Linked DNA regions of Rhinolophus ferrumequinum. The protein of the gene in region 3 purifies or fractionates together with the protein of the main gene of each other region. This does not show direct contact. Links are inferred from orthologs where the notes say so. Each region holds a gene or a part of one and is shown on either strand. Other genes may lie near its edges.

The links. Proteins that work in one complex are often made in the same cells at the same time.
Region 1: the proteins of CSNK1D (region 3) and SNX24 purify together in Homo sapiens (affinity purification with mass spectrometry; 3 studies listed by BioGRID and IntAct, counting the BioPlex papers as one, with this or other methods). This does not show direct contact. The link is inferred for Rhinolophus ferrumequinum from reciprocal best matches to the Homo sapiens genes CSNK1D and SNX24.
Region 2: the proteins of CSNK1D (region 3) and CRY1 purify together in Homo sapiens (affinity purification with mass spectrometry; 3 studies listed by BioGRID and IntAct, counting the BioPlex papers as one, with this or other methods). This does not show direct contact. The link is inferred for Rhinolophus ferrumequinum from reciprocal best matches to the Homo sapiens genes CSNK1D and CRY1.
Region 4: the proteins of CSNK1D (region 3) and CRY2 purify together in Homo sapiens (affinity purification with mass spectrometry; 3 studies listed by BioGRID and IntAct, counting the BioPlex papers as one, with this or other methods). This does not show direct contact. The link is inferred for Rhinolophus ferrumequinum from reciprocal best matches to the Homo sapiens genes CSNK1D and CRY2.

What each region holds. Positions count from the first base shown.
Region 1 is NC_046290.1:84,382,223-84,389,421, reverse strand, and holds the start of SNX24 (sorting nexin-24), read right to left. Parts: upstream 3,003-7,199; 5' UTR 2,987-3,002; coding exon 2,921-2,986; intron 2,796-2,920; exon of another isoform or gene 2,502-2,795; coding exon of another isoform or gene 2,496-2,501; intron 1-2,495. UniProt on the Homo sapiens protein: May be involved in several stages of intracellular trafficking.
Region 2 is NC_046293.1:13,616,314-13,624,052, reverse strand, and holds the start of CRY1 (cryptochrome-1), read right to left. Parts: upstream 3,003-7,739; 5' UTR 2,385-3,002; coding exon 2,227-2,384; intron 1-2,226.
Region 3 is NC_046304.1:54,977,485-54,985,336, forward strand, and holds the start of CSNK1D (casein kinase I), read right to left. Parts: upstream 3,009-7,852; 5' UTR 2,691-3,008; coding exon 2,615-2,690; intron 1-2,614. UniProt on the Homo sapiens protein: Essential serine/threonine-protein kinase that regulates diverse cellular growth and survival processes including Wnt signaling, DNA repair and circadian rhythms. It can phosphorylate a large number of proteins.
Region 4 is NC_046294.1:15,001,918-15,009,430, forward strand, and holds the start of CRY2 (cryptochrome-2), read right to left. Parts: upstream 3,003-7,513; 5' UTR 2,961-3,002; coding exon 2,746-2,960; intron 1-2,745. UniProt on the Homo sapiens protein: Transcriptional repressor which forms a core component of the circadian clock.

The DNA of each region.
Region 1 (7,199 bases), on a different chromosome or scaffold from region 3:
CCTCCATAATACTATTTCCGAAACATTGATGTACATATATTAGCATTTATGATCTTGAAGGGAAAAAAATATGTAGTAAAAACAGGCTGAAAAAACTAAACCAGAATTGACATACACAGTTTGAAAGTTATGTGTGATTGCTGCTTCTGAAGTACTTCAAAGTATTTGTGAAGAGTTTATTTTAAATAGCATAAATATTTTTCCTGGACTTCTTTTAACATCATTAATGCTATTAAAAGAGCTTTAGAAGAAGTAAACTTCAAGGGAGTCCCTACTTGAAATAATAAGAATCAATCACAAACATAGCTAGAGACACCATTCCTTGCACTTTGCAAGGATTATCTCATTTAATCCTCCAACTTCCCAGTAAGGAATAGTATTCTGTCCCCTCTTACAGGTGAGGAAAATGACAGGGCCATTAGGTAACTTGCCCAGAGTCACACTTCGGGCTAAAGGCTGGAGGCAAGATTCAATACAGACACCACGAGTTCACAGTCTGTGTGTTTCACCTTTAGACTGTAACCGGTAGCTTTGGCTAGAATATTATAAACAGGCTTTTCCCAAGTGGCAATAATTACCTAGGAAGCATCTGAAATAATATTTGATTTGATCTATACAGGCTCATTGGTGATAACACCCCTTCCTCATTTTTGAGGCAACAGGGTGCTACAATTTGGACTACTAAGTATCACACCAAAGCAGACAAAACAATGCAATGTGGTGATATCCTGGATTGGATCCTGGAGCAGAAAAAGGACAGTGGAAAAACTGCTGAAGTCTACATAAAGCCTGGAGCTTAGTTAATAGTAGTACCAATGTTAGTTTCCTCGTTTGGACATTATAGCGGTAATGCGTGGTGTTAACAATGGGGAAACTGGGTGAGGGTATATAGGAACTCTGAGTCCTAACCTTGCAACTTTTCTGTAAATCTAAACTTATTTCAAAATTAACAGTTTCTATTATAAGAATAAATTACAAAGTAAAAACTACTTAAAAAAAAAAAAAGATTGAAATGTATTTCTAGCTCAATGAAAACAAACTAATTTCTGTCCCCAAATTTCTAAGCATCATATTTACAAAATTCAACCCTCTTGGATGTATTTTGATTTTTTAAACAAATGTAGCATGCTGTGTGTTAATGTTCAAGAATGTTGTCAAAGTGTATTTCTCGTCCTTAAGTACTGTAAGGATCATGTCCTACACAAGGTGGATTGAATCACTCACCACATTTCATGCTCGCTTATGCTGTTCACTTACTGTGAGTCACTGTGCCAGCTTTGTCCTTGCTACACAAAGGCTTCCTTCATCACAGATGCTTACAACGAGTGACAGAAAGCTACTGCTGTGGGCATTGTGCTCTCACCGTCCTTCTGACCTTCTCCCGCTGTGGTGTCTCCAGTTACATGGCAGAAATGGACTGACCTCATTCCCAACTCCAGGGATGCCCCTCGAACTATTGTAACTCTATCTGGTGAACTTATCCTGGCCATGGTGATTGGGTCCGGTTGCCCTGGCCTCAGTCACTGGGCACACAGGATTCTCCTGGCAACAGGACTGGTTCAGAAACCAATGGGGGATAATGAAATATGAAGGCAGATGTATGTGTTCAGAATTTCTGGGGAAAAAAATGTCCACATCTCCCCCCACCCTCCAGGTGTTGTAGTAAACAAAAAAAAAGTTCTTAAATCTGCAACTTGTTACCATTGCTTCACCTGGTGGAAGCTACTCTGAGGATGAAAGCAAACAGAGAGAGGAGGGCTACGCAGGCAGCCAGGCCCTCTAACTCAGCCTCCCAGCCTCAATCTCACAAATCTAAAATGGCAATAACACTTCCTGCAGATCACTGTTAATTCCAAGGCAGTATCTGCACTGTGAATAAGTTTTTAAAAAAAGAAAAAGAATAAACAAGCATTGAGATGATATAAAGATATTGCTGATTTTGTGGTAATATTTACATTTTGGTTATGTTATTTAAAAAGATTTTACCTGTCAGATAGTCATAGTAAAATATTTACAGGTGAAATTGTATCTTGGATTTGATTTAAAATATTCCAGAATTTTAAAAAACGGAAGAAAGACCGGTGGTGAATGAAATAAAAATTGTGAAATACTGAAGGTGAGTACTGGATAAATGGTGGTTCATTGTATTGTTTTTTGTGTTTTAATCTATGAAATATAGAAGCAATAATGGTCCCTGCATTTATACAGAGCTGCCTCTGTACCGAAAAGCATGATACACTAAGAAATCAGAGAAAGAGTCCAGATCGTAACATTTGCACAACAAACATAAGCACAGCACACTCAAGACATCAAGTTACAATGGACTTGAAAAACCATCTAACTGAATGCCTTAAATTTTACTGCTATGAAAAATGAAATCTAATACATTGAAACTTTTGGGTTGTTACCTAAGCAATTCTAGTTTGGTTGTTTTACCAACAATGTACCTGGAAACTGGAAACACCAGCTTATATTGGCACCTAGAACCTACTTACCCTCATGCCCAATGGACAGTCACCATATCAGGACTCTCAGTCATATCCAGCACTTTCCTTCTTGTAAAGCATCCACCATTCTTTCTCTTCCCGCCTCACACCGCTGGGTTTCTTTCTCCCTCCCGATGCTTGCTAATAATTCTTTGCTCATGCACGTTCTAGGGTTTTACCTTCAGTTCTCCCTCCTCCCTCACTTCACATGTTCTTCCTGAGATAAGCATCAACTTTCATGCTTTTCCATCTTTTATGATGACTGACCTCCTAGAGCCATATTTCTTTCTGGCCCAGAAACTCCAAAAGCAAATGGTCTCACCCCACAAAATGACTCAACAGGTCCCCAGATGAACTATCCCTCCCTCCGCTCCACTTCTTACATGGTTATTGGCACCTACACCCAAGAGTCACCCTGCGCCACATCTGCTCACCAGGCCCTGGGGATCCTTTGTAGTCAGCCCCTTTCCTTCCCAAGCTGCCTTTGACCAGTTCCTCATCCTTCTCTTTCTGGTCATTTTGCAAACTTCTCTTAAATGACTCATGCTTTACGGTCTTCTTTCTAAATGCAAAGTTAATCATGTTACTTCCTTCCTTAAAACTCCCCAGTGACTTCCAACTGTCTGAGGTTCGAAAACCATCCTGCTCTGTAGCTCTAGAGCAGGGGTGTCCAAACTGCAGCCCACGGGCCAACTGCGGCCCGCAATCCATTGTTAATTGGCCCGCAGCAAATTCCAAAAATACATTTAGTTTACTTAAATAAACCAGGTGAGGCAATACGTACTTCACCTCGAGTGAGTGGCCCGGCTGTTTGTGTATTTTACCGAATATGGCCCTTGGTGAAAAACATTGGAAAAAGTTTGGACATAAAAACTCCAGTCTGCACTCTGATGCCAGTCCAACCCACTGAGCTGCTTCCTGCATCAGGATCACTGTTCTTATACGTTTCTCCTGTTAGAAGCCTCAATCATTCATTAGCTGTTCAGCAGACAGGTACTGAATTCTTTATGTGATAGACCCTGTACCAGGGCACAGAAGTGGAGACTGACGCTGTCCCAGCCTCAAGGAGCTTATAGTCTAGCAGGGAAACAGACTCTAAAGAAAAAAGCCATGGGGGAGAGGGAGTAAGTGGGGGGAGCTTGGCGGGTAGAGAATAACCACCCCAAGAAGTAATATTTGAGTTCATTGGCATGTTGTTACAATATCCTTTCCTGCTTCTTTGTAAACTAAAATGATTTAGAAGTAGCTCCCCCATTTTTGCTTTTTGGTGAATCTAGGAGTTTAAAACGCCTTTCCCCTGAAATATTTGCCTTGTACTTCCTCTTTGCAGAATTCACAATCCTGCAAAAACCTAAACAGATTTCAAAAGTCAGCATTCCTAAGCACCCTCCAACCCCACCCCCAGCACACCACCCTAAGGCAGAACAGAACTGAGTCCTTCCTCAAGACTCAGCTGACATCAGTCACCCTAACCCTCCCCTGCCTAACCCTCCCCACCTGACCTTTCCTTGCTTAACCCTCCCTTACCTATCCTTCCCCTACCTAACCCTCACCTACCTAACCCTCCCTTACCTAACCCACCCCTACCTTGCCCTTCCTGATGAACAGAGAAGGCTTAAGGAAAAACTGCATTCTTTCATCTTTCAATTCCCCACCCAACACAGTGCAGACTCACAGTAAATGTTTAAATGTTAAAAGGGCAAAAATTACTTTGTACATCGAGCATAACTTCGTATAAACTTTCTGAATAACAATTGAGCAATATCTGTAAAAACTTTAGAAGGCTGAGAAGCACCACACCTAGTTAAATGTTCTACAGAAATCCTAGAAGGCATAAAAAAGCATGTACAGGGATGTCTTATTTCAACATTTGACATAGTTCTAATTTTTGCTAAAAATTAGAAGCCAATGTCAATGGCCACCCACAGAGATCTGGGTAAACAAATCTGGGTACATTCCTTCTATGGAAGATCCCTTTGCTACACTAGTTAGAAGGAGACAGATCTATCCATATTGACACAGAAAGATATCCGTAAATTGGAGGATGACAGTGATAGTACAATCTTGTCATTTATTCTATAAAAGAAGAAACATGTTTTCACAGCATCGGGGTAGAGGGAGTCTCTAAGAAAGTACACGTATGTATTATCTCTGAGGGCGTAAGACTAGAAGCAGGGAGGAAGAACCACCCTTTTCTACTTTAAACTTCCCAATACTGAATTTGTTAGAATGCAATATAGTTCTTAAATTTAACACACAACATAATCATTAAAGTAAAAGGTATTTTTACCCTAAGTAGATATTATTTTACCAGTTTCTTGTTTAGGAAACTAAGATTGTTTTGACGTTTTGTTTTTTTAAAGTGAAATATTTTTCACTGCTAAATTCCTGGGGCCTAGAAGAGACATATAGCAGACACTCAGTATCTGCTGAATGGATAATCTGCTATACATTTATAAAATAGTTGCTCAGAAGGAACAAAGTATCTAATAGCCCTTCACAAACTTACAAAGGAAAAATATCACTTGCAGAATGTGTCTTAACAATCTAGTTACCAAGTTAAGTGAGTTAGGATATTTTTAAAAAGTAAACTTTTAAAAAGCACACAGACTCTCAACATAAACTACCAAGTTTACCAGGTAAAGGGTTCCTTCCAAATCAGTTTAATTTACAACGTGGAGTTTGGCACATTCCTGGTAATAATATGACCAATAAAAAGATATATGAAAACTTGGGAGGAAAATACAGGGCCTCTAATAGAAGAAAATCAAAAATGGCTAATAAGCCTTAATTTTGATCTATTTAAAAGTGCTTATTTGGGGGCGGTAATTAACTTTTAGCTTAGACCACTGAGACCAGTAAAGGAGCTCCCCCAGTAAAGCAGCCTTTTTATTTTCAGATCCTAAAAGAATGCCCCAGAGAAGGCAGGCCCTCCGTGGCTGCTGATGCTGATGGAAAGTGCAATACCTGGAAGAGTGCAAGACAGCCAAGGTTTTAGGCCTAAAAGGAGAAAGCCTTGAATAAGTTCACATTTAACTTCAATACCCTGCTCCTTAAAAGGAAGATACAGAGTATTTAACCAAATGTTAATTCATTGGAAAGTATTATCTATACAAATAATGGCCACCGAGGAGCTCAGCTCCCATTGGTTGCAGGTTTCCCCCAAGGGAAGGCACTTTGAGTACTTGTTTTGGGACACGTGGACCCAGCAGCCTACTTAAATTCGAAAAACCCACATACTCCCTGCATTTTTTTTTCCAACCACTACAGAACTCTTAATTCTAAAAATTCCTTTGAGAGGGTGATTTAATCCTATGAAAAAACAAGGTTCTGAATAGGCTGTCACCGAAACCCAGTTACATTTAGAGGAGAGAGAGGTTAAAATATTTCTCTGCCAAATTAATGCAACTGGTGTTTAGCAAGTCAGTGAATTAGAAGTGAATAAAATAATCCTTTGAGACTACCCTCTTAAATCTTCTCCAAAGCCCACCTGGAAATAAATTCTTCCAAGGTCTACCCAGCGGGAGGCATTTCTCCCTCTAGCAATGGCTACTGCGTAGAGAAAGTTGTCTAAATTCATTGGGAAATCAAGCACCTACTGTTTACTTTCTAAACTTGTTACCCAAAGGTCCCAGGTTCTGTCTCCGCCCTCCCCGCCCACTCCTCCCCTACAGAGAGCAGGGGCCCAGTTTCTTATTTCTCAGTGATTCCAGCCCTACGTAGGTATGGAACAGGTGCTCATGAAATACCTGATTTCACTATTTCATGGCACGGCAGAATTCGAAAGAAAAAAAAAAAACTTTGGAAACCATCTAAAAGCAGTACACGTGTTCACTGTGGCTAATAAACAGCTACAAATGATGATTTTTAAAAATTAGCATATTATCCATCTGAATGAATCCTACAGAACTTGGAAGCCAACATCAGCCCGCCACGAGCAGAGGGAGCAGCTGTGCCAGAAATCAACGCAGCCCAGCCCGGGCTCCCGAAGGCGGGCGGCGGGAGAATGGCCAGCGCAGCGTCTAGGGACTCGACTCCCGGCGCCCCTGCTCCCCAGATCGGGAGTGGGAAAGGGAGGGGGAAGGGACTGAACCGGGGACCCCCGGCGCCTGCAGCCGCCGCACCGAGGTGGGGGTGCCCGTTTCCTTGACAACCGCGCCGGGGCACAGCCCTTCCTATGGGACGGGGGAAGGGAGGGAGCGGAGGGACCCCCCGCGCGGGGGCGGCGGCGGCCGGGGGCACCTCCCGGGCTCAGGCACCGCGGCCCGGCTTCCAGGGCCCTGTCCGGCCGCGGACCGCGCCTACCGTGTATCCCCTTTCCAGGTCACTCTCCTCGTAGCGAAAGGACGGGATGTAGACCTCCATGGCTGCGCCAGGCGGCCCGCGGAGGGCCAGTAGGGGCGGGCTCCCAGCCGCGGTCGCCGCTCCGCCCCGGGCCGGGCCGCCCCGCCTTCTTTCCCTGCGCCCGCGGGACCCGGAGGAAGCGCGGCCCAGAGCTGGGTCTGCGGCTGACCGCGCCGCCCGCGGCGCTCTGGGGGGCCGGGGCCGGACCGCGAGACCCGGAGCGAAGGACGCAGGGCTTTGGGAGCGTGGGTTCCAGGCCTAAAGGGCGGTGGAGATCAGCTGGTCCTGGAGGAGGCGGGGCCTGAAACCTGTGAGTCTGCAGAAAAGGGGTGTGCGCCTCTGCCCCGGGCGCCGGGGACTGGGCCTCAC
Region 2 (7,739 bases), on a different chromosome or scaffold from region 3:
AGCTATCCAAAAAGGCTTTTGCCTCTGACACTACTGAAACCACTCTATCAAGATTATGAATAACCTCAAAGTGCTAAATACAATTTTTAACTTTTAGTCTTCATCTCACTTGACCTATCAGCAGCACCTGATGTCCGTAAAACATTTTTGAAATACTTTCCTTACTTGGTCTATAAGACACTACACTCTTCTGGGTTTTCTTCTTACCTTACTAGATGTTCTTTTCAATCTCCTATGCTGGTTCTTCCATAGCTCCACAATTTCTACACACTAGAGCACCCAAGGCTCAGTCCTTGCACCTCCTCTCTTTTCTATCTACACAAACTTTCTTAATGTTCTCATATAGTTTCATGACTCCTCTAGAATGTAGCTTCAACAGGTAGGGGTTTTTGTTTTGTTTTGTTTTTTAGCTATTTTGTTTATGCTGAATCCCCTGCACCTAAAACAGTGCCTGCCATGCATTGGGTGTATGACAAATATATGGATGAATAGCTTTAAATATTATCTACAAATTGATGACTCACCGATTTATACCTCCTGCCTGGATCTCTGCCCTGAACTCCAACAACCGATTTGCTATCTCCACTAGGATGTGTAATAAACATCTCAAACTTAACCAAGTTCAAAAGAGAACTCCACTACCCTCCCCCAATGATTTCTCTGACTGACGTCACGTTCTTAGCAAAGTGCAGCTCCATCCTTCTAGTTCCTTAAGCCAAAAATTCTGAAATCATTCCTAATTCCTCTCTTTCTCTCACACCACATGTCCAATCTGCCAACAAATACTGTGGATTCTGTCTTCAAAATATATTCAGCACTTTTTGGCTACTTCTCACTAAGTCCACCACCAACCATCACTATGTCCAAGCCATTACTACTTCCCACCTGGGTGAATGCCACAGCCTCCTAACTGGTCTTCCTGCCTCTTATCCTCCTGCACCCCTCCAATTCAGTCTGTTCTCACAGCCAGAGAAATTTTTTTCAAACTTAAGTCAGAGCATGTCACATCTCTGCTCATAATCCTGCAATTATTCCCACTTTGCTCTGAGTACAAGCCCAAATCTTAATAATTGCCTAGAATGCTCTACTCAATCTAGCCCTATTTCATCTCTGACCTCATCTACTTCTTTTCCTCCACTTCTGCTCCTCATATTCGTTTCTCCTGCTGTTTCTTCCAAAGGTGAAGCACATTTCCACCTCAGGGCCCTTTCTCTTATGCTCCTGCTGCCTGGAATGCTTTTCCCCTAGACATCCACAATCCGTATTTGCTTCATCACCTTGTTCAACTGCCACTTCTCTCTGAGTTTTTCCCAATCACCACACTTAAAATTACAACTCTAATCCCAACTCCTTGTATTCTTCCCCTTTCTGTTTCGTATTTCTTCATCCCCCTTCTGCTTCGTATTTCTCCATAGCATTTATCACCACCAAATACTGCATATCTTACTTTCTAGGACACCTGCTTACAAAGGACACGAATCGTAGTCGGTTTTATTCACTGCTAGTATATCCCCTGGAGTTTAAAGCAACGCCTGGTATGCAGTAGAATGCTATCATTTCCACCAGGGGGCCTAACAATCAACTAGCCTGGTATTTCAGGAAAAAAACATCAAGCTTCTCTACTATTTCTTCCACTACTCTGATCCCTAGAAGGATTATACTTTGCCTAGAAAGAAAAACGGTGCTTTGTCCAGTCAACCACAAGGAGGAGTTGAGAGGCAGAGCTGAGCAAAGAGAAACCAGATGTTTCCCTTGCTTTTCCTCCCGCAACCTCAAGGTGGAAGAAAACGGGATTGGGAGGCGACGGTACTGAATGAATGATGTTCTCCATACTACGATTTACCGAGACCCACACACACATACACATTAAAAAACACAATCCTTTCCGATGCCACAAGGAGGCCAAAGAAATCAACCCACGGGCCCCTGAAAAAGAGGAGGGTGTTTCTTTAACTCCACCGCGAAGAACTCCCCACAAATCCGGGAAGAGAGTTCCCATTAACGCAGACACGACATTCACGGCGGAGGCCAAGGCGTTCCCGGTGGCCAGCACTCCCTCGCCAGCGAACTATTAAACCCATTCTATTTCATACTTAAAGCGTCTACAACGTTGAAAACGGCACAAGCAAGGCGGTCCCAGGTTTAAGTTCTCCGACTGGGCCGATCGCGTGTCAAGTCCCGATTCCTGAAACACCGAAATCAATTTCCCCCGGGATTCTGACTCACCGCCACCTGTTGATGCCCACATTGGAGGAGCCGGCGAACCAGGGGTCGAGGATGTAGACGCAGCGGATGGTGTCGGCACCCTGAATGCACTCCTTCAGGGCGGGGTTGTCGTGAAGCCGGAGCCCCTTTCGGAACCAGTGCACGGCGTTCACCCCCATCCCGGCGGCGCGGCGGGCGGCGGGTCCCCGCCGAGTTCCTCCACGGAGAGAATCAAGGAACGAGGGTCCGGCTCATACCCGACACCTCGGCTTCCAGGAGAATCGCCGCACCCAAGGAGTAAGAACAGGGCGGCCGACGGGGGGAGAGGAAAAAAATGAGTCCGGGGAAGGGACCAGAGAGTGAGAGGGCGCTGGAGGCGCAGCTGGAAGATGAATGGAGGTTAGGTTGCCCAGTCAGCGGAGTCCGGGTGTGACGCCCTTTAGGAGCCGGCGCCCGTCGCAACGGCCTGGACGAGTCGCATAACTTCCAGGGCCTCGGACCCCCAGAGGGTGAGCAAGTTCCAAGGGCTCAAGCCTCCTCCACAACCCGAGCCGGCACCCGCAGCCCCGGGAGGTTCGTCACGGAAACCTCACCTCCCCGAGGCGGCTCCTGAGAAGAAAGCGGCCCGCCCGAGGCAAGCCACCGAGAGGGATGAGCGAAGACTCAGCCCCCGTGGGCCACGCTGCCTCTCCGCCCAGAGACGCGAGTGAGGACGGAGCGCGAAGCACGGAGGCGGTGGTCCAGGCCGCTGGACGGTTGCCCGCCGGTGACGGGTCCCGAGGCGGCCCGGGTGACTCCGCCGACACCACCGCGTCAGAGGCCCCGGCCCCGCCCCCGGCTCCTCATTGGAGGGCGCGCTGGCCACGTGACCACCGGCACATCACGTTTCTGAAATGTGTTTACTACAGCGGCTCTGACTAAGGAATGTGCTCGCGCTTCAGTTGCTTCTAGGGGCCGACAGCCTTTGGGTCTCAAAACCGTCGATCCTCGCCCAGCCACTGGGCTCTCGGTCTCTGCCCCTTTTCTCGGCGGACTGATCGCGGCTGCCTGGATGCCCCCGCGGCGATCACAGGCCCCACGTGAAGGAAGGCTTAGCTCCACCTTTGGGGGCCGCGAGCGTCCACCATTGGCTGAGGCTTGCTGAGACCCGGATGAGCACGGGGATGCGGGGAGCTCGCGGGCGCGCGCTTGGCTCTGGAAGGGGCGCGTGCGCTCTTGCTGCGTTCCAGGGGTCAGTAGGGCGGGGCAGGCGAGCGGGAGCGCGCTCAGGGATTCCGCTGTGGGTCCCCGGAAGGCCTGAAGACGCACTGGTACCCATCCAGAGTCAGCGATGGCTCCCCGCGGGGAATGAGGGCACGGTAGAGTGGGAGAAGGAGAGTTGGAGGATCCACGTCGACTTTGATCCCAAATCATCTGCTTCAGTCGAGCTTTGTGCAGAGAACCCTACTTTGGCATGTGTGGAGCTGGCGCCCTTACCAGTCTTCTGGACCTCCACGCTGTACCCTTGGACTTGGTCTGGGGAAGAGGAGTAATTGGCAGGGCGAGTGCCAAGCACTCCTAGACTGATTGTATTTTTTTAATACTAGAGCTGTAACATCAGTATGTCAGCCCTAGTCTCTTACATTTAGTGTGGTTTACAGGGCTCTTTGCCCACCTTTCCAACGACAGTGAACTGCAAGCCATTCCTTATTCGTATGATGCCCTTATATTCATTCAACAACCAGGCACTCTTCAAAGTGCTGTAGATACAGGAGAGAAGAAAATAGGCTAAAATCCCACCCCTCTGTAGAGTGTACAAGCTGTATGTCAACCTTTACATGTGCTATCTTTTCCTCTATAAAATGCTTTTCTTTGGAATCTGCTGCTCCCTACAACCACCTTTACCCTACCTAGTATATTTCTGCACATTCCTTTAGACTCAGATGAAATGCTACCTAATTTCTGAAAACAATCCTTTCCCCAGAGCGGATTAGGACCTCACCAAATCCCTCAGGCCTGTCTCTGATACATCACTTATTGTAAAGATTGAATGAAAAGTGCCTATTTGAACACCAAGTACGAAGTAGGTGCTCAATAATTGTACTTATTATCATGTGTCTCTGCTTCCCTCTGAAGTGTGACTTCTCAAAGACAGGCTCCATCCATTTCTCTTTTTTTTTTGCGTTATCAATACCCAGTACAGAACCTGACATATATGCATTCAAATGTTCATTGAATGAATGAATTAATGAATGCTGCTTGCCACCTGTGTGTTTGGCAAGGTTAAAAGGAGAAAAGATATGGCAATTGCTACTGGTTGAATTGTGTCCCTCTACAATTTACATAACCCCTGTGAATGTGATCTTATTTGGATATAAGGTCAAGTTAAGATTAGGTCATTAGTATGGGCTCTAGTCTAATATGACTGATGTCCTATAAAAAGGGGAAATTTAGACACAGACCCACACATAAGGAGGTTGCTATGTGAAGATTGGAGTTATGCTGCCACACACAAGGAACTATGTACTCGAAGCTCAGAGAGCAGCCTGGAACAAATCCTTCCCTAGAGCCATTAGCAGGAGTACAGCCCTGCCAACACTTTGATGTCAGACTTCTGGTCTCCAGAACTGCGAGACAATAAATGCCTGCTGCTTTAAGCCACTCATTTTGTGTTGTGTTACAGCAGCACTAGCAAACTAGTAACAGTAATAGAGATTCAATTATCTAGTGAGCCAATATATCTGGATAGTATTCCCCATCCTTGCCTCTGTTGCATATAGCATCCTTTCTTTGGTTTCTTAAAAACAGTTAAATTGTTATATGTGAAAACCCTTTGTTCACTATAAAGTATTAAACAAATAGTTATTTTTATCAATGGGGATGATTCTTGGGTAATTACCACTCTGAGGGATCCATCACCTACGCAGAGGATGTGGCGTATAGAGCTGTGCCCTCTCCTGGATTGCCTCATACTCCAGGGCCTGTTGTACTTTTAAAAATACAATTTCATGTTTCATTTCAGACAGTTTGAAAGTAAGCAGATTGTGTCTAAAGACATAAGAATTGTTTTCAAGCATCCAAATGAAACAGTGGGCGGTAGAGAAAGAATATTGATTTGTGTAGAGTTGACTTATGTTTGCCGATTGTTCATTTAATAAAGATGGATTTTTTTTAACAGACAGCTGTAGGTGGGTGTATGTGTAATTTTCATTTACACATAAAAGTACTAATTTATTATAAAAGTGTCAGTATTGTCAACTCCATTCCACAAAAACGAGGATATTTATGGCATGAAAACAGTTACTTTAATATATCTGTTATTGGGGGGAGTAACCACTTAATAATAGTTATGGCTTATTGAGCACCTACTGTGTGCCAGGCACTTTATATAGGTTATTATTACCCTCACAATAATATTTTGAGGCAGCTCATTATTATTTAATAATAATTTATACCTATGTCGCTGAAGACACTAAAGCTCAGAAATACAAACAAGTAATAAAACTAGATTAAAAACCAAGACTGTTTCTTTTTTTGTTTTTCTTTTTTAATTAATTTATTTATTTATTTATTCATTTTTAATTGGGAATATTTTGGGAACAGTGTGTTTTTCCAGGACTCATCAGCTCCAAGTCAAGTCATTGTTTTCAATCTAGTTGTGGAGGGCGCAGCTCAATGGTTCATGTGGGAATCGAACTGGGGATGTCGGTGTTATGAGCACTGCGCTCTAACCGACTGAGCAAACCGGCTGCCCCCCACGACTATTTCTGAATCCAAGCTCTTTCTTTATGATATACTACCCTCATTGACACCACCACTCCCCTTCATTTTCAGAATGAGTATTTGTATTTAAAAGGGGAAAGAGAGATGGGGAGCATTTCAGGAATCTTGTGGAATTCTGCTGGGCTCCAACATCATGGCGGTAGAAAGAGAATAGGACTGGGTTCTATTTCAGCTCACCATTAATTAGTTGACTCCAACAAGTCACTTAGACTTTCTTGATCTGATTAATTCATCTATAAAATGAAGAGATTGAAGTAGATGACTTTTAAGTTTTCTATGCTATTTTAAAATTCTAGGATTCTGTCAACACAACCCTGCCATGGGCTCAAAAATATCTAAGAGTTCTGTTAAACATTTTTTAACTGCCACCAATGTTAGAAAAATCGATATCTCTTTGATTTCATAAGCACCCTTGATAAAAGTATGTCAGCCTCTAAACTGAAAGCCTGTGTTCTCTCTTGACCCCATCTTACAGAGGTGATTTTTTTGGCATGCGTTATCAGCACACAAATAATGAAGGAGTAGACAGTGTGATCAGCTCATTCAGTCTTGATGTGATGTGAATGTTAGTGATGTAGAATATTTTCTTTGTGCCGGGATCGTGTCTCATGAAACCGAAGAATGGAAGCACGGACCAAGGAGAGGTGAGGAGTTGTGAAAAAGGATAGTTTATTAAAAGTAAAGAGTAAAGAGTTGCAGCTCTCAGAACGAGAGGGGGTCCCGACCAGGGTGCTCAGTGACTAAAGCAAAAGCTCTTACTTTTATACCTTCCCGTGCCAGTTTGGAGAAGGGAGCTGGGGCCTTATAATGGAATTCATCTATCAGGTTTGTCCTGTTTGCCCACCCTAAAGGGATTAATGAACCCATTCCTATGTATCAGATTTGTTCCTTTTGTCCAGCCAAAAGGAATTTATGAGATAATTTATTAACCTCAAGGCGCATTCTTATATCTGTGTCCTGGAGTGAAGGATATGGCTGCCTTTTGTTTATTCCACCAGGGACCTTCCTGTCTACCTAACAACATGCTAGCTAATCTGTCTCATTAGGCTGGTAGCCCTTGGCTGAGGGATTCCCAACACTAGAGTTGTTGGGGGATTGAATTTAAATGTGTTAAAGGATCACTTTTTTTTTAAAGGTAAAAATTATGACTCATATGACTATAAAATGAACACGTCAAAGATTTTACTTAACTTGTTAATTAATGAGGGAACCAGTAAGATGTTACAATGGAGTAAAAGAAGGTTTCAAAGAGCAGTTACATACATAGCCCATCAGGAATGTTAAAAATGAATTTACTTAATATATGTAAAACTGGATTCTTCTACACAGGGGTGAGGGGAGGGAAATCAATTGCACTTGCACAGGACAAAATGTATTTCCATGTCCATGGACATGGTTCATTTGCATTGCTATCAATCAGCTACAATTTACAGAGTTGTAAAGTAGTTCAAAGATAAAAACAGGCAGAGAGTAATTTGAAAGGTGTAACTGACAAGAGATCCAGTAATTTTTTGCCTGTTTCAAAGACATTCATAATTTTTGTCACCTCCTCAGAGGTCTTCCAGGCAGCCCATTCTAAAAAGGGCCCCCTTCTTTGTCTCTATCATAGTTCCCTATTTACTTTCATCAGAGCACTAATCATGATCTTGTAGACAGAAAAGCTGTCTACATGATCATGTAGACATGTTAAACCTGACAAGCTCAGGGGAGGCCGACATAGCGGGCCGTACCTACTCAGAGACTGAAAATAACTGCACAGCATGGCTTGACAG
Region 3 (7,852 bases):
CTCCCGCACACCCCAGCTTCCTAGTCACACTGGGGTTTGGAACACGGGTCCACGTTAAGAACACTGGCTCTCCCTTGGTTTTTGAACATTATCAAACGTATGAGACGCACACTGCCACCAAAGCGAAACGACTTCGGGGACCCACTGCCTTTTGCAAGACACCTCACCTCCAGCCACCAGGGGCTAAAGCTTGCGGGAAGCTCAAGCTGAGGGAGGCCGGAGAGTGAGAAGCTTCGCCTCACGCCCACCTGCAATTCCTTCTGCCTAAGTGTGTGCTGCACGCATGCACACAGGACGTGAGCACTGAGGCCTCCCCATCCAGCCCTGCCCAGGAGCCTTCAGGACCGGTCAAGCTTAGGGGGAGGCAGACTGAGGTTCAAGACTATACGTTTTGGGGTCCACGGTGGCCCCAGTCCAAGTACTTTCTGAAGCCCATGCATGGGAGAATCAGACCCGAGATACTGCCCCCCTTTGAAGGGGCAATTTGGGGAACGATTGGAGTGACCTGGCAGGGCCCAGTGCTGCATGCCCGAGTCAGCCTGCAGGACACCAGGAGACAGGCCAGCACTGGGCCTTCCTGATCCACGAGGCGCGCAGCAAGCTGGAGGCCAGCCTTCCCTCCACGAACATACCGATTCCCACGAGGAGGACTCAATTCCTTAAGTGATGCCTAATTAGAGGCCTAAACAAACAGGAAAAAACTACAGTACAAATAACGCAATCCATCCCCTGCTCTTTGGACCTGTCATCTTTGACCCTTAACTACAGTACACAGTGAGCTGCCTCAGACCCACCTTTTCCAGCCACATCTCAAACTAGCAAGGTCACTTCACATTTTCAGTGGGTAACTTGCAGCCTGAAAGGACCCCCATGTGGGCCAAGAGCCAATGCTGAGGGAAGACGCCTGGTTATGCTCCGTCCCATACAATACCTCCACGTGCACCCCGACGGTGGGCTGTGTGGGTGCTCAGGAGGGCGTGAGAGCCACCGTCCATCCATCTTAGAGCACAGGGACAGAGACCGAGGACAGACCCCTCGGGCCCGGTCAACTGGACCTGTAGCAGGTGCGCCCACATGGCTGAGGCCCAAAGGACGCCGTGGTGAACGGGCAGGTGGGTCCCCACCGAGCTCCCACTCCCGATGAGACAGTTTACATCGTGTGACTGACCTGGTGACAACTGGTCCACAATGCAATCGTCCAAACCCAGCTTCGGAAAGCACAGAGCTGTCTGGGAAGTCTGACCAGAGGACAAAAAATTTCAAGGCATCTACTTTCTGATGCCTGTGCAAGGGTGACTAACGGACTGGCTTTTCAGCACAGCTCCTAGATCGTAAGTTAAAACTTTTGCCAAAATCTATTGTTCTATAAATAAGGCAAACAGCTTGCACTTACCCGGCCCAAAACGCTGCTGAGAACGCATTCGGCTGACTACTGCATATAAATATTTAAATAGAAGAATCCCAGTGTCTCCAAAGTGTATTTTACTCAGCAGGACAGTAGGCACAAATGTGGCATGTGACGGGGGTACTCTGCAGGGCACCGAGGCACCAGAAGCAGTGATGAACTTCCCCAGCGCACGTGTGGGCCCCTCTGAAGGCCCTGCGTCCTCTCCAGGTGACAAGACAGAAGGACGTGCGTGCGGTGAGCGCACACACCTGGGCTCAGGTGCAGGCACCACCAGAAATACCGACAAGGGAAGTACTCCCGACCCTCCCTGACAGGCACAGCGACCAGAGGGAAACAGCAGAGCGGGCTGCCCACCGCGGGGCCTGTGAATCCCCAACGTGCCAGGGTGGTCCCTCTGCACACCGGTCGCGGTCGCGAGCCGGGCTGGACGGTCCCAATCCGGGGGTGGGGGCATAACTGACGGGCGATTCCCGAGAAACGCAGACACCTTCTTTCTAAACGTCCAACTGTGGGATTCGAGCCTCCTCTTATTCCACACGTGCACGTGCGCGTCCTTTCGAGGGAAACCTAAGCCAACCCAGAACATTCGAACACTAACACGGCTCTCAAATCTATATTGACAATTTCACAGCCCAAGGGACAAGCGCGGAGGGACAGCGGGTCGCGTCCGCGCGGACCGGGTCTCCAGCCCCGTCAACGTCTCCTCTTTAACCGGCGCCCAGTCGGGGCTCGGATGCGCAACACGTCCGCGGCACCGCTCGCCCGGCCGACGCCCGCCGGGGCCGCTCAGCCGGGGCTGCCTGGTCGCGAAGGGCACCGAGGGGCGCGGGAGCCTCGCCCGGCCGGTCCCGCCCGCCCCGCCCCGCCCAGCCCACCGCACGCGCGCAGGACGCGGGGGCCGCACACCGCCCGACGGCGTTTGTCCGTCTGCGGGTCACCGGCGCCGACGCCGGGCAGCGGGGGCAGCGGGGGCCTCGGGCCGCGGCCCGGCCACTGCCCGGTGGCGGCGCCGGGCGCACGTTGGGGCAGGTGCCCTCGGGCCGGGCGGCGCGGGCCGCGGCTCGGGAAGGCCACAGGGTCCCCTGGAAGCCGCGGGGTCCCGACAGGAGCGGGTCCCGGGGCGGGGCCGGGGTCAGCGGCCGGGGGCGGGGTCCCGGGCGGGCGCCGGGCTGGGGGCGGCCCCGGCCCGGGGGAGGGGCGCCTCACCAAGGTAGATGTCTCCGAAGGAGCCGCTGCCGATCTTCCGGCCCAGCCGGTACCTGTTCCCGACTCTGAGCTCCATGGCGGCGGCGGCGGGCCCGGCTCGCTCCTACCCTCCCGGCCGCTTCCTGGGTCTGAGCTCGGGGAGGCGGCGCCGCTGCTGCCGCTACTGCGGGTCCGGCTGCCGGCTCCGCCCCCCTCACGGCCCCGCTTTCACCATCGCTTTCCGGCCGCCCCGCCGTTCCCAGCGCCTCAATAAGGGGCGGATGGGACAGTCCGAGCGCCGCCGCCCCTGCTCCGGCCCCCTCCGGCCCCGCTCGCCCTCTCCCCGTCGCGGATGGACTCGGATATTCCGGGCCTAAATCCCCCTTCAGCTGCCTGAAGGAGCCGCCGCCATCGCGCTGTGACGTCACTTCCCTTAGCAACCCGGCGGGCGGGGCCGCGCTGCCGGGGGCGGGGCTGCGCTGCCCAGGGGGCGGGGCGAGCGGGCTCCGGCGTCCTTGCGAACCACCGACGCCGGGGCCAGCCCCTTATTCTCTGTGGCCCGAAGTCCCCGTCGCAGGTCTGCAGCTCCCACCCGGCCGCTTCCCGTGTGCAGCCTCCACGTTTGCCCCCGCGGGTGTCTGGGAAGCCAGCGGCTCCTGGCGACAGACCCGGGACAGGCCCGCAGGCAGCGCCCTCGCACTCAAAAGGAGGAGGGCCTTCCGCCCTGGGTCGGCGCCGGGAGGGAGTGACACTGGCCGGGTCACAGGGGACAGAGGTGTGCACGGCCCTTTTGGCAGCTCGGGACTTAGCTACTGTGCAGTCCAGGGCTTGCAGCACGGCCTGCCACTGCCCCTGACGTCCCGTCCTACACACTCAAACCTAGGGCGGAAGGACGGAGAGACACGTCCTCGGGTCTGGCGTCAGGCCTGAAGGGTGAAGGTGAAGGTGAAGCTACCAGGGCTTCAAAGGGTGAGGCCCGGACAGTCCGCCTCTCCAGGCCCATCCGCCTGGAGACTTAGTCAGCATTGTTATCTAATCTGTGTGCGGTCTGAAAGTTCTTCCTTGCAAAAGAAAGCTGGAACGTTGAAGTTCAGGCTGATCTGGACTCCACTCCAGTCACTGGGAAGGGAGTCTGGGAAAGGCCGCCAAATTGAGAAGAAAGGGCTTCCATATGGACACGTCTCTAGGCCTATCCTCAACCCCGGCTAAAGTGGCAACGGTGAAACAGGCTGTTAACATATATGTTTGGACATCTAGCAAACACACTCCCGTGTGCACAGAGGTGTGGGCTAGAGTAGCCGGAGCAGATGGTCAGAACCAGGCCCTTCCTGTGGCACAGGCAGCCTCAGGAGAGCAGCCTTTGTCGGAAAATGTTTGGAGGTCCGGTTGGTGAGGCCGGCATCAATTCCTGAGCAATCAGTCCGTGGTGGACTGGTGGGCAATCGGGAATGGCTCCGTCCCTGCCCAGTGGTTGCCCAGTTTTTCAGTCTTAGGGCTGGGGGTGGGTTTTGACAAACTAGTAAAATAGCCATGGTGGCAGAACTGATGATGGGCAGTGCCTGCTTCACCCACCGGAGAAAGCCACAAGTGCAAACTGGAACCAGAAAGGGGCCTGGAGCCCGCTCCCTGGACATAATGGACCACTCCCTGAGCTGCCCCGGCTGATTGATGGCCTGCAGTCCCCTCCTGGGGCCTCAGTGTCCTGTCTCAGAAAGAAGTGGCAGCTCTTTGGACCACCCCAGGCCCCAGGTTTCTGCCTGCTTCACCTGTTTATTCACAAACTTGGTCAGGATAATCAGCCAACACGTAATCAGTAACATGAGCTCTCCAGAACATCTTGTGACTCCCCATGACTTCAACAAGAAGTTAAACTACATTGTCTGATCAGAGCTCGTCCCCAATGACAGGTCTCACTGCCTCCCAGCCTACTGTCCACAGGCTGCTGTCCACAGCATGGCTATAAAGATGGTTCTAGAGCTCACATCCCATGCAAGCCCTGCCTGCTTAAAACCGACCCAAGTCGAACCTTCGTACTCCTGGAGGGAATGTAAAACAATGCAGCCACTTTGGAAGCCAGTGTGGGGTTCCTCAAGAGATAAAGGCAGAGTTACCATGTGACCCAGAAGCTCCACTCCCAGGTCGGTACCCAAGAGAACTGAAGATATCTGTCCACAGAGAAATGTATGCACAAATGTTCAGAGCAGCGTTGTTTTATTTATCACATGTAAGCAACTTTTTACAGCCCATATATCCATAATGAATGAATGGATAAACCCTATGTAGTTTATCCTATGTGGAGTAATTATCACACAACCATGTAAAGAAAGAAGCTCTGACACCTGCTACAATGTGGATGGACCCTGAAACACTGAAGAAGCCGGGTTCAAGGGGCAACATGCTGTATGATTCTGTTTACATGAAGTGTCCAGAACGGACAAATCCACAGACCAGGAAGCGGATTAGGGCTGGGGAGCGGGCTGGGGGGAGACTGCTGGTGGGCCTGGGGATCCTCTTTGGGGAGGACCAGCGCATTTCAGAACTAGGGAGCAGACAAGTATACAACATCATGAATGGACACAAAGCCACTGACCTGTACACTTTCAAACAGTTAAAATGGTGAATTTTATGTTAATTTTATCTGAATTGAAAAAAAAGCATGGGTCAGCCTCTGGGGACTGAACCCAGCTTCCGTGCTAAGATTTTGGAGGGTCCTCACCATCCCACAGGAATGATAACAGTTCCCTGAATGCGTCAATGTCTCTGCTCAGGGCCCCTGCAAATGCTGCACCTGTAATGTGTTTCCCCCTCTCCTCCCACAGACACACACACCTTTGTTCAGCTAACTTCCCGGTCTTCCCAGCCCCATGGTTGCTACAATGGAGACAGCCCAGCCTGGACTGAACAGGAGGGGAGGAGCCACTACCTTTAAAGGCAGTGACTGAGAGTCTGGGCTGGGGTGGAGGTCAGGTGCCCAAGTTTCAGTTCCCGCTCTGCCTCCAGCTCTGCACCCTTGTGCTGGTAACTCAACCTCTCTGTGCCTCTGTGCTCTCATCTGTGAAATAGGAATAACATCATCGAACCCTAGAGCTGTGGAGAAGGGTGAGAGGGTTACCACGGGCACAGTTCAGAACAGGGCCTGGAAACAACTGCTGTATAAATATTAGCTGTTTATATAACTACTGTTTACTTGGAAAAGGAGCCGTCACGCAGGCAGCAGCAGTGATGTTTGCCACCAGAGCAGCTGATGGTGCCGACTGGACAGTGGCTTCCTACTAAGACCCCCCGGCGAGGCAGGACCTGTGCCCACTCCTCACCCGCAGGCCGATGCCGATGCCCGACGGGACCAGCACTAACGATTATCCCCATTTAATGAACACCTGCCCACGGAGTTCCGGCCTAGGGAAGCCAACCATCACAAAGGGAATAGTGATTGCCAACTGGGCCAGGACTATGGAGGACCAGACGGGTTGCAGGCCACACCACACGCGGGAACCAGGCTGTAGTTCGCAGCTTCCAGCAGCTTCCATAGGGAGGTGACCGTCCCTGAGATCTGAAGGAGGAATTACCTTGGTCTGGGGGAGGGGGCTCACAGGGAGGGCGCGCAGAGGCTCACAAGCAACTTCCCAGCAGCAGCCAGAGCACAGGCAAGGCTGACAGAGGCCTTTCGGGGACAGAGTCCCAAGGAGCAGTTTCCAGGCTCTCGGCCTCACGTGGAAAGGTGCTGGCTCAGGTAGTAGATGGCCGTCCGCTGTGGCTGGGTGGCCATCAGCTGTTACCGGTTAGCCCTTAGCCACTGATATAAGTGCCGGGGCTGCGTTGGGGGGTTGGGGGGTTGGCAGAGAAGCGGATGGCGGGTTGTGGATCGTGTGGCTCCTGCTTCCTGTGTCTCCAACCCAGCCGCCAGCGAGACTATAGTGGTGTGAACCCCCATCCATGGCTCCGTGGGTGTTCCTTTTTGGCCTCACCATGTCCTGTGTTCTTCTGTGGGGAGTGGGAGCTGAGACCCCGCATGACAGGCCTCATGAAGGGGGGTGTCAGGGTTGGCTAGGATTCTAGCGCTGACAAGTGTTTGCTCTAGAGGCAGCCACTAGCCACACATGGCTATTAAATTAATTAAAATGAACTAAAAGTAAAAATCCAGTTCCTCAGCCTTGGTAGCCATGGTCCAAATGCTCAGTGGCACGGGGATCGGACAGCACAGCTCAGAGCATTTCCATCGTCCCCAGAAAGCTCGCTTGGGCCGCTGGGACCAGGGCTCTCAGCTGGGGTGGGGGTGGGGCGACATGTGGCAGTGTCCCATTGTCACAATCGGGGGATTGCTGGCACATCAGACCTGGAGGTCAGGGATGCAGTGCACAGGGTGGAGACCCCGCCCTAGAACGAGCCCAGTGCCTGATTGCTGCTCTGCCCACTGGATGGAGGCCTCGCTGAGCCTGACTCTGGGTCGAGTGACCCAGCCCTGGTCAACCCCAAGCATGTTCTGTCAGGAGGCCTCTGGAGGGGCGTCCTGGCGCTGATGCAGGAGTTGAGGGTTCCGGGGTCAAGTCAGGGCAAGTTTGGGATGCTCTCCAATGGGGCTCACCCACAGGCCTGGGAGTGGGGGGCGGGCAGTGCTGTGCAGGCCAGCACTGTGATGGGGTTAGGAGGTGCGGCCTTTGGCAGTGGCGATGGCATTAGTGCCCTTATAAGAAGAGGCCTGAGAGCGAGCCCCCTGCCACACGAGGACAGTCAGGAAGCGGCCCTCCCAACACACACCAGGGCTGCTGGCTCCGTGATCTTGGATTTCATTTCCAGGACCTTGAAAGATAAATGGCTGTTACTGCAGTCACCCAGTCTATGGTATTTTGTTATAGCAACCTGGAGTATTTACCCAACTGAGTTATAAACCTGCACCCACACAAAAACCTTCCTGAGAATATTTATGGCAGGTTAGTTCATAATTGCCCCAAACTGGATGTAACCAAGATATCCTTCAGTAGATGAATGGATAAACCAACCGAAACATTCAGACATCTGGCTATTATTCAGCACTAAAGCAGTCAACTATCAAGCCACAAAAGGCACAGATGAATTAAGTGCATATTGCTAAGTGAAGGAAGCCAGCATGTAACGGCTACATGTGTATGATTCCCTTTACATGCTAAACTGGACCAAGCAAAACTGTGGAGGCAGTGAGGAGAGCAGTGGTGCTGGGGTGTAGGGGGGTGTTTGGGCCGGGAGACGCTGTGTGGGGCTGCAATGCTGGACTCATGAAACTAC
Region 4 (7,513 bases), on a different chromosome or scaffold from region 3:
GCAAGGTGTATGCTAGCCCTTCTCCTATGCTAAGAAATATATATATTCCATGGCTGCCTCTCTGTCCTCTTTTACTCTTAGAATGTGCCATTCGTGGTTATTTTAATCTGATACATCTGTGAAAAATGCTGTGTGGGAGTCAGCGTAGGAAATGCAGGAGAATAATAGAGATCACAGATTTTGCTTCCCCCACCTCTTGCAGCCAGCCCGGGGCCCGCCCTTCCTAGGGAGGCTTCTCAGAGGCCATAGCTGAAGTATTTGCAGAGCGAGGATGTTATGCTGCAGCACAATTCTCCCAGACCACTCCCACATCCAGAAACAGCCACCGGAAGATTACACATATTGTAGTTATGCAGAAGAACTGCTGGCTCCATCACTCCCAACGCTCAACTGCATGCATAAAACACGCTGCAGCTCTGCCCTGGATCTGATCATGGGAGCGCGGAGTAAGGTGGGGGTGGCAGGAGTGTGTCTTTCTCCAGGCCCAGGAGCAGTTATCCTATTCCATCTGTTTTGTATTATTTCACTTGTTTCTTCCAAATGCCCAAACTAATTAGACTTCCTGCCAATGCACAGAAACATTTCTCCCCAATGGTTGGCTCCTCAGGCTTTCCAGCACATGAGAGCTTTAAAAACCCTAATGCCCACGCCGTAAGCCAGAACAATTAAATCAGAATTGGGGGAGGAGAGAGTCCAGGAATCTTTGAAAGATCCTTCAGTGATTCCCAGGTGTTGCAAGATTGAAAACCACTGCTCTAGTCCGTCCCCCTATTTTATTTCGTGACCCTCAGTTCTACTAAATGATAGTTGTTTACTTGTCTTCCTCCACTAAAATGTAGGCTCCAGGAGTTCTGGACGCCACCTCTGCTTGTTCATTGCTATGTTCCTAGCAGCACCTAGAACAGTGCCTGGTTAGATACGAGGCACTCATTAAATAATTGCTCAGTTAATATCTGCATGCCTACACAGCCTCTGATTTCAGGGTTTGATGTAGGCAGCAGCTGCCACGTTCCTTTTCTCTTTCACTCGCTGGAAGGCACAATCACAAAAGGGTGACCCATAAAAATCCATAAACACCTTGTTCCTAGCAAATCTGAGTTTAATCAACAACGGTTTTTGTTGCTGATGTTTAATCTCCACTATCACAAGGCGTAGGCAGTGCTACGCAATGTCCCGCATCACCCAGTAAAAGAAGAAACTCCTTCGTGACATTAGGTACAAGCAGGTAGCCCTATTCTATTGACTCTGCTCTGATTGGCACACTGCCATAAGGAAAGGGGCAACGTCTGAGGCTCGCTTTAATGACCATGCTAGGGACGGTCATTTGAGGGTGTTTGTCAAAGCCAAGCTCCTGTCTATGGAAAGTGGAGCAGAGGCAGAGCAATAGAGCAGCCTGAAAACTGTGTGGGCGGGCTCTCCACAGGACTATCTTTAGTCATTCCCTCTATATAAATGGGGCAGGAGGGGACATTTCATAGACCCACTGTGAGAAGCACTCACTCTCCTGGAAGGGCACACACTCTGGAGAGAAAAGAGAGTTGTGCTGTGAGCCACTGTCTCCTGGGAATAACCCTGCCCATGGGTTGACAAGGCCACAAGCAAACATCCCCCAGAACAATGCAAGCAAACCAAATGACAGCTGAGGGGCATTTTAAAGAGATGGGTACACAATGTCTCACAACTCCTTGGTTTTGAACACTGGTTACAGAGAAAATACATCAACTACCTATCTGTTATCCTTTCCCATGATCCTGCAGACTCCATCTCCTGAGTCACCAAAGGGGAGCCCTTGATATCACACCTTTGCGGCTCCCTAATCTTACCACAAAAGTTGATAAAAATCTAATCTATAGTGGCGCAACTGACCTTTAAAATCATTCTCACGAGAAGAGGTACAAGGAAGTGACACTTTGTTTGGTTCCTTTTTTTTTTTCTTTTCTAGCAAACTCACAGCTGCTGAGGGAATTCTCCAAAATGGGTGAAGTACGGCTCCCTAGGTCAGGACACACAGTACCTCTAACTGAACACGCCCTTCGGGTCTTTATCAATAACAACGGGAAGATTGCACTTGGCTTATCTAATGTTAAGCCAGAATCTCTAGACACCTCCAGAGGCAGCACAGTCTTGGGGTAGGGAAACCAGGATGGGTGAAAAGACAAATTCAGACAAACCAGAGGCTTAGAGATGACCTTCAGGAGCCCAGCAACGGGCTCTTGACTTGAAGAACGCAAGCATCTCTGTGCCATAAACTCAGAAATCCAACCCTACCCTCACATCACAGTATCTCCTTTCCTCCAGTCCTTGAGCACACCCCTAAGAGCCCCAGACCAGGAGTCCCTGTTCTGTCACTCACTGGCTGCCAAGACCTTGGGCAGGTCAACTTTTGTCTCTAGGGCTTAAGAGTCTCATCTGTACAATGGAGATCATGATCTCTGTCCCACAGGAATGTCTGCGGCCCAAAGGAGGATAACACACAGTGCGGAAGCACTTTGTCAGAGAGTGAGCCCTGGCCCATCCAAGCCTTTGGTACGATGACTAATTGCTTCCCTGGTCCTGCCTTCTCCCCTTTGGAGACCCGGCTCCATCTTCCTGCCCCACCTCCCTCAGGCCGGGGTCTTCCGGCCGTCGGAGCTGGGGAGCAGGATCTCCCTCCTTTGGGTGGGGGATGACTCAGGCTCTTCGCCAGGCGCCCCAGAGGCCAGGCTGCGTACCCCGAGCCCGCGACCCGGCCCCGGGCCCCCTTACCTCCATCGGTTGATCCCCACGGAGGAGGAGGCCGCGAACCAGGGGTCGAGGATGTAAATACAGCGCACGCAGCGCGCCCCGCGCACTGCCGCCAGCAGCGCCGGGTTGTCGTGGAGCCGAAGCCCCTTGCGGAACCAATGCACTGAGGAGGCGCCATCCGTGCCGGCCTCAGGCGCAGGGGTCACTGCTGCCGCGGTCACCACAGCCGCCGCCATCACCGCCCTGACTGCTCCCGGCCACTGCTGTACAGCCCCTGTCAGCGCCGTGGGCCCCGCCCCCAGCCCGCCCAATGACCTATGACACCGCCTCTCCTCTCTGTGGCCCTGCCCCTCGGGCCCTGGGGCGTCTCTGCCATTGGCTGGGCGCCTCCCGCCGAGCGATTGGCCCAGCGGCGCCGAGTCCGGCCCCGCCCCCTCACGTTCCCACCATGTGTCGGTGGGCTTGGGAGCGGCCAGCGGGCAGGGCAGATGACGCAGGCTGGAGATTCTCGCGGAGATCTGGACACAGACGCAGTCTCGAAGGACAGCGGATCCCTTACATGCGTCCTATTCAATGCCTGTCACCGGAAAAAGCTGCCTGGGCTGGCGGGGGTTGCTGTGACTCCAGCCAGTAACATACGGAACCTGGACAACCGGCGTCCAGGTCACCATGTCATTAACATCGTCATCACCATATACCTCAATCTATTACATCATCTACAGCTACCATTTATTGAGTGCACTTTACATGCCAAACAACGTGATAATCTCCTTATACATACTGTCTCATTTACTACTCTCAGCCCAGTTGCATTTATTCAATAAACCCCAGTGAAAGAGCTGTTATTATTCTCATTTTACAGATAAGTAAACTTTGAGGCTGCTGCAGGTTGAGGGACTTGCTCAATATCATAAAGCTAATAAGAGGACTCCATCCAGATTATTGTGATTTCTAATCTGCTTTTATCCGGAAAGCTATATTTCTATCTGTGCTGAGCAACTTGACATTTGCAAGAGGCAGAGTCTGATGGGTAGCAGTAAAAGGGTTGAGAGTAGGAACTGGAAATGTGGAGGATGTGGGTTGCGATAGTAATTATGACATCAGATGAATTTATTTTCTTCTAGTTCTATGTATAGGAGACCCAATGGTACAATTGTGCTCAAACACTACTGGAATTCCCTGTGGGATTCAGAGGTATGAAGCACACTGTCCCCACTCCTGCCCTGGGGAGCCAGGTGGAGCCCTCTTATTCCTATGGAGGCTAGCACTGGGCTTGCTGATTGGCTGACTGAATGGCAAGACAAGCATATGAACACCTGCAATGAAGTGTTGACCTTAGGCTAAATGGTCTGGTCATACTGGAGCTCTGGGGTTATCAAGTGGAGAACAGTCTGTTTCAATTTGGTGCTAAGTTGTGCTAAGTTCCCATGCTTGGAACCCTTACTGAACTTGGGAATGAACAATAAAGGAATTTAGCAATTTTATGGTTACCAGTAAAATTTTATGGTTACCAGTATGGTACCAATAAAATTGTTACCAGAGCATCGTTTTAATGGTACACTCTTTTTCATTTCCAGGGCTTTGCACAAGCTGTTCCCTCAAGCCTGGATTACACTCCTCCCACCCCCCAACCCCCCGCCATCCCCCAATTCCAGTTTGCCCTGTGTCACTGCTCAGTATCAGTATAAATGTCACCTTCTTGCTGTCTGGTCTCAGCCTGCATAATGCCCCATCTCATTCTGTGTTTCTTCTTATTACTGGCCTTAGGACATGGTATTAGAATTTCTTACTTGTCTGTTTGCCCCATAAGACTATAAACTCCTGGAGGGCAGGGGCCATGGCTTATTTACAGTTTTATTTTCAGGGTCTAGCTCAGTGCTTGGCTTAGTGGAGTAAAAGTTGTACAGGGACTAGGGTCTCAGGTTGGCAGGAACCTTAAAAATCTATCCCGGTCCTTAAAAAAAAAAAAAAATCTATCTATCTCAATCCTGACTCGATCCTTATTTTTCAATCTCCTCTTCAAATGCTTGCTGAATAGATGCCACTTCTCCTCACTTTTCTTTTAAGGCTTTGTGTTCCCCCTCTCCTATCCCCTTTTCTCTCCACAAGATTGATGCTCTTCTTAGGAATGGAACAGAGTGTGAGGAGGTTAGGGCTTTAAAGATGTGTATTCTTCTCTTTTTCTCCTCTGTACTCTCATGATTCTTTCTCTATAAACTGTGAGTTCCATGAGGGCAGGGACTGTGTTTATCTTGCTCATCCGTGTGTTTGCAGCATTTAGTTTGGTACCTGACATGTAGTAAGTGCTCAATAAATATTTGCTGAATGATCGAATGTCATTTATCCCTACAGTATTAGGCTATCATTGACAGTCAGTGTGGTATAGTGGTTAAGCCCAACGTCTTGCACATTTGGAATGGCTGGGTTCAAATTCTGGTTCTTCTTTGACTCTGCATTACGTTGGTAAGTAATCACCATCAATCCCCCAAAATCAAACAAATCAATTATTTTTTTATCCTCATGTTGCCTTCTAGTCTTTGTCTACAAATATCTTTTTATAATTTTAATCAAAGCAGAGGTGCAGTATTGCATGAGTTTCTCAAACAAAATATTAAGCATGCTACGTCATTGTCTTTGTGTTTGTTATTTTAATTACTATATAATTCTTCAACAAGTTGATAAAGATGAATTATTTTATTGAATGATTGCATATTGCTTGGGTATGTTAACAGGGTAACATTCAAGAATCAGGAAGTAAACCTGGCACTGGATACAATACTGGAGTGCAACGTCCACTTTTGGACTTCACACTTTGAAAGGGACATGGAGAAATTGGAGCGAGACCAAAGAAGCCTGTAAATTGCGAAGGAGATGAAATGTAATCGTGTACTATTATATCTTTGAGAGAGTGAGGTTTGACGTCATAGCTATATATCTTGTTATTTACAAGCAACTCTGAGGAGTGGTTGCCATGAGAATGCCAAACAGTTGCTCTTTGTTTCCCCTAAGGATAAAATAAAAGAATCTAGTGTGAGCTGGGAAGAGTAAGAGATTTAAGGAGGGATTTAGTGTAAAGTGATTTAGGAATGAGACAAATTAATCAGATAGTGGGAAGTTTCTTTCCTTGCTGAAGATATTGAAGAAGGCAAACATCGGTTCTGTTTGTCTCTTTGTTACATCCTGCATGGAGACTAGATTGGGCAATTTTTTACATTCCCTTTGAACTGCGTTTTGGGTAAATACTTGATGATTGGTTGAATGGTAACCAGGATTAGGAGGGAGGGACGTCGCTGGAGAGTTTAAATTACCAGCGCCCTCTAGTGGTGCGATTGGGAAAGAAGCAGAGGGCCGGTTTCCGGCTGAGGCAGGAGCATCAGGGCCCCGCCCTCTTCCTTTAGTCACGCGGCGTTCTGCAGTGTGTAGCAGTGGAATTCTTGTTTCCATGACTTCACGCAAGAAACTGTAAAACTTATTGAGAGCATGGACTGAAAAGGCAGACTCCTTGGGTTCCATTTCCAGCTCTGCCATTAACTAGCAAATTATTTACTTGGGCAAGTTACTTAGCTCCTGTGTCTCAGTTTCCTCATTTGTGAAAGGGGGAAGAAGAAGATGATGATGATGATGATAGCGGTGCAGCATGGGATTGGAATAAAATAAATAGACAAAAGTTTCAGAATTGAGAATCCGGAAACCGACTCTCCCATATCTGGTATTTTATTCATGACAAATATGTCTATGTAAAGAAGTGAGGTAAAGGTGGTTTTTCCTGTGATGGAAATGGGTCAATCAGATATCCCAGTGTAAAAATATTAATCTTGACCCCTATCTCAGAACATACAAATCAGTTCCAGGTAGATTATATGCTTAATGGGAAAGATAAAACAGTAAGGCTTTGAGAAGATTATATAGGAGAGTATCCTCATGACCTTCGGGGTAGACAAAAAACTCTTAAGACATGGAAAGGGCTAACCATAAAGGAACAGATTAATAAATTGAACTATATTGAAATTATGCACTGCTGTTTATCAAAAAACATTATTTAGAGAGTGAAAAAGCAAATCATGGACCGGAAGTAGCCGTAACACATAATTCTTAAAGAGCTCAAATCGAGAATATTTAAAGAACTCTTAGAGGTGAAAAAGAAAAGGAACACTGGCAGCCCCGTGAAACTTGTTAAAGGCCAGAGACCTGAGCAAACACTTTCCATTCCCTCTCCCACAAAGGATATGCAAGTGGCCAATGAACACATAGAAAGGAGCTCACCTTGGGGAAACAAAAACCACAATGAGATATCACTATAGACCCACCAGAATGGATAAAGTTAAAGGACTGACAAAACCAAGTGTTGGGGAAGATGTGAGGAATTAAAACACTCATACACTAGTGTTGGGAATGTAAATTGATACAACCACTTTAGAAAACTGTCTGGTGTTAATACTCAATTTGAACAACTACATACCCTACGGATTGTGAATGATACACCCTATGACGGAGCAATTTTTTATTCCTACCACATACCAACCAGAAATCTGTGCACATGTATGGCAAAGACATTACAGAAATATTCATAGTAGTATTGTTAGTAATAGTCCTAAACATCCATAAGTGGTAGAATGGATAAATAAATTGTGGTGTAGTCAAACAAAGGAATGCTATACAATAATAAGAATGAACAAACTGTAGTTAGATTCAACAACATGGATGAATCTCATAAATTGAATATTGAACAAAAGAAGCCAGACACAAAAGAAAACATTTATATATGTATACATTCACAGCCAGGCAAAAC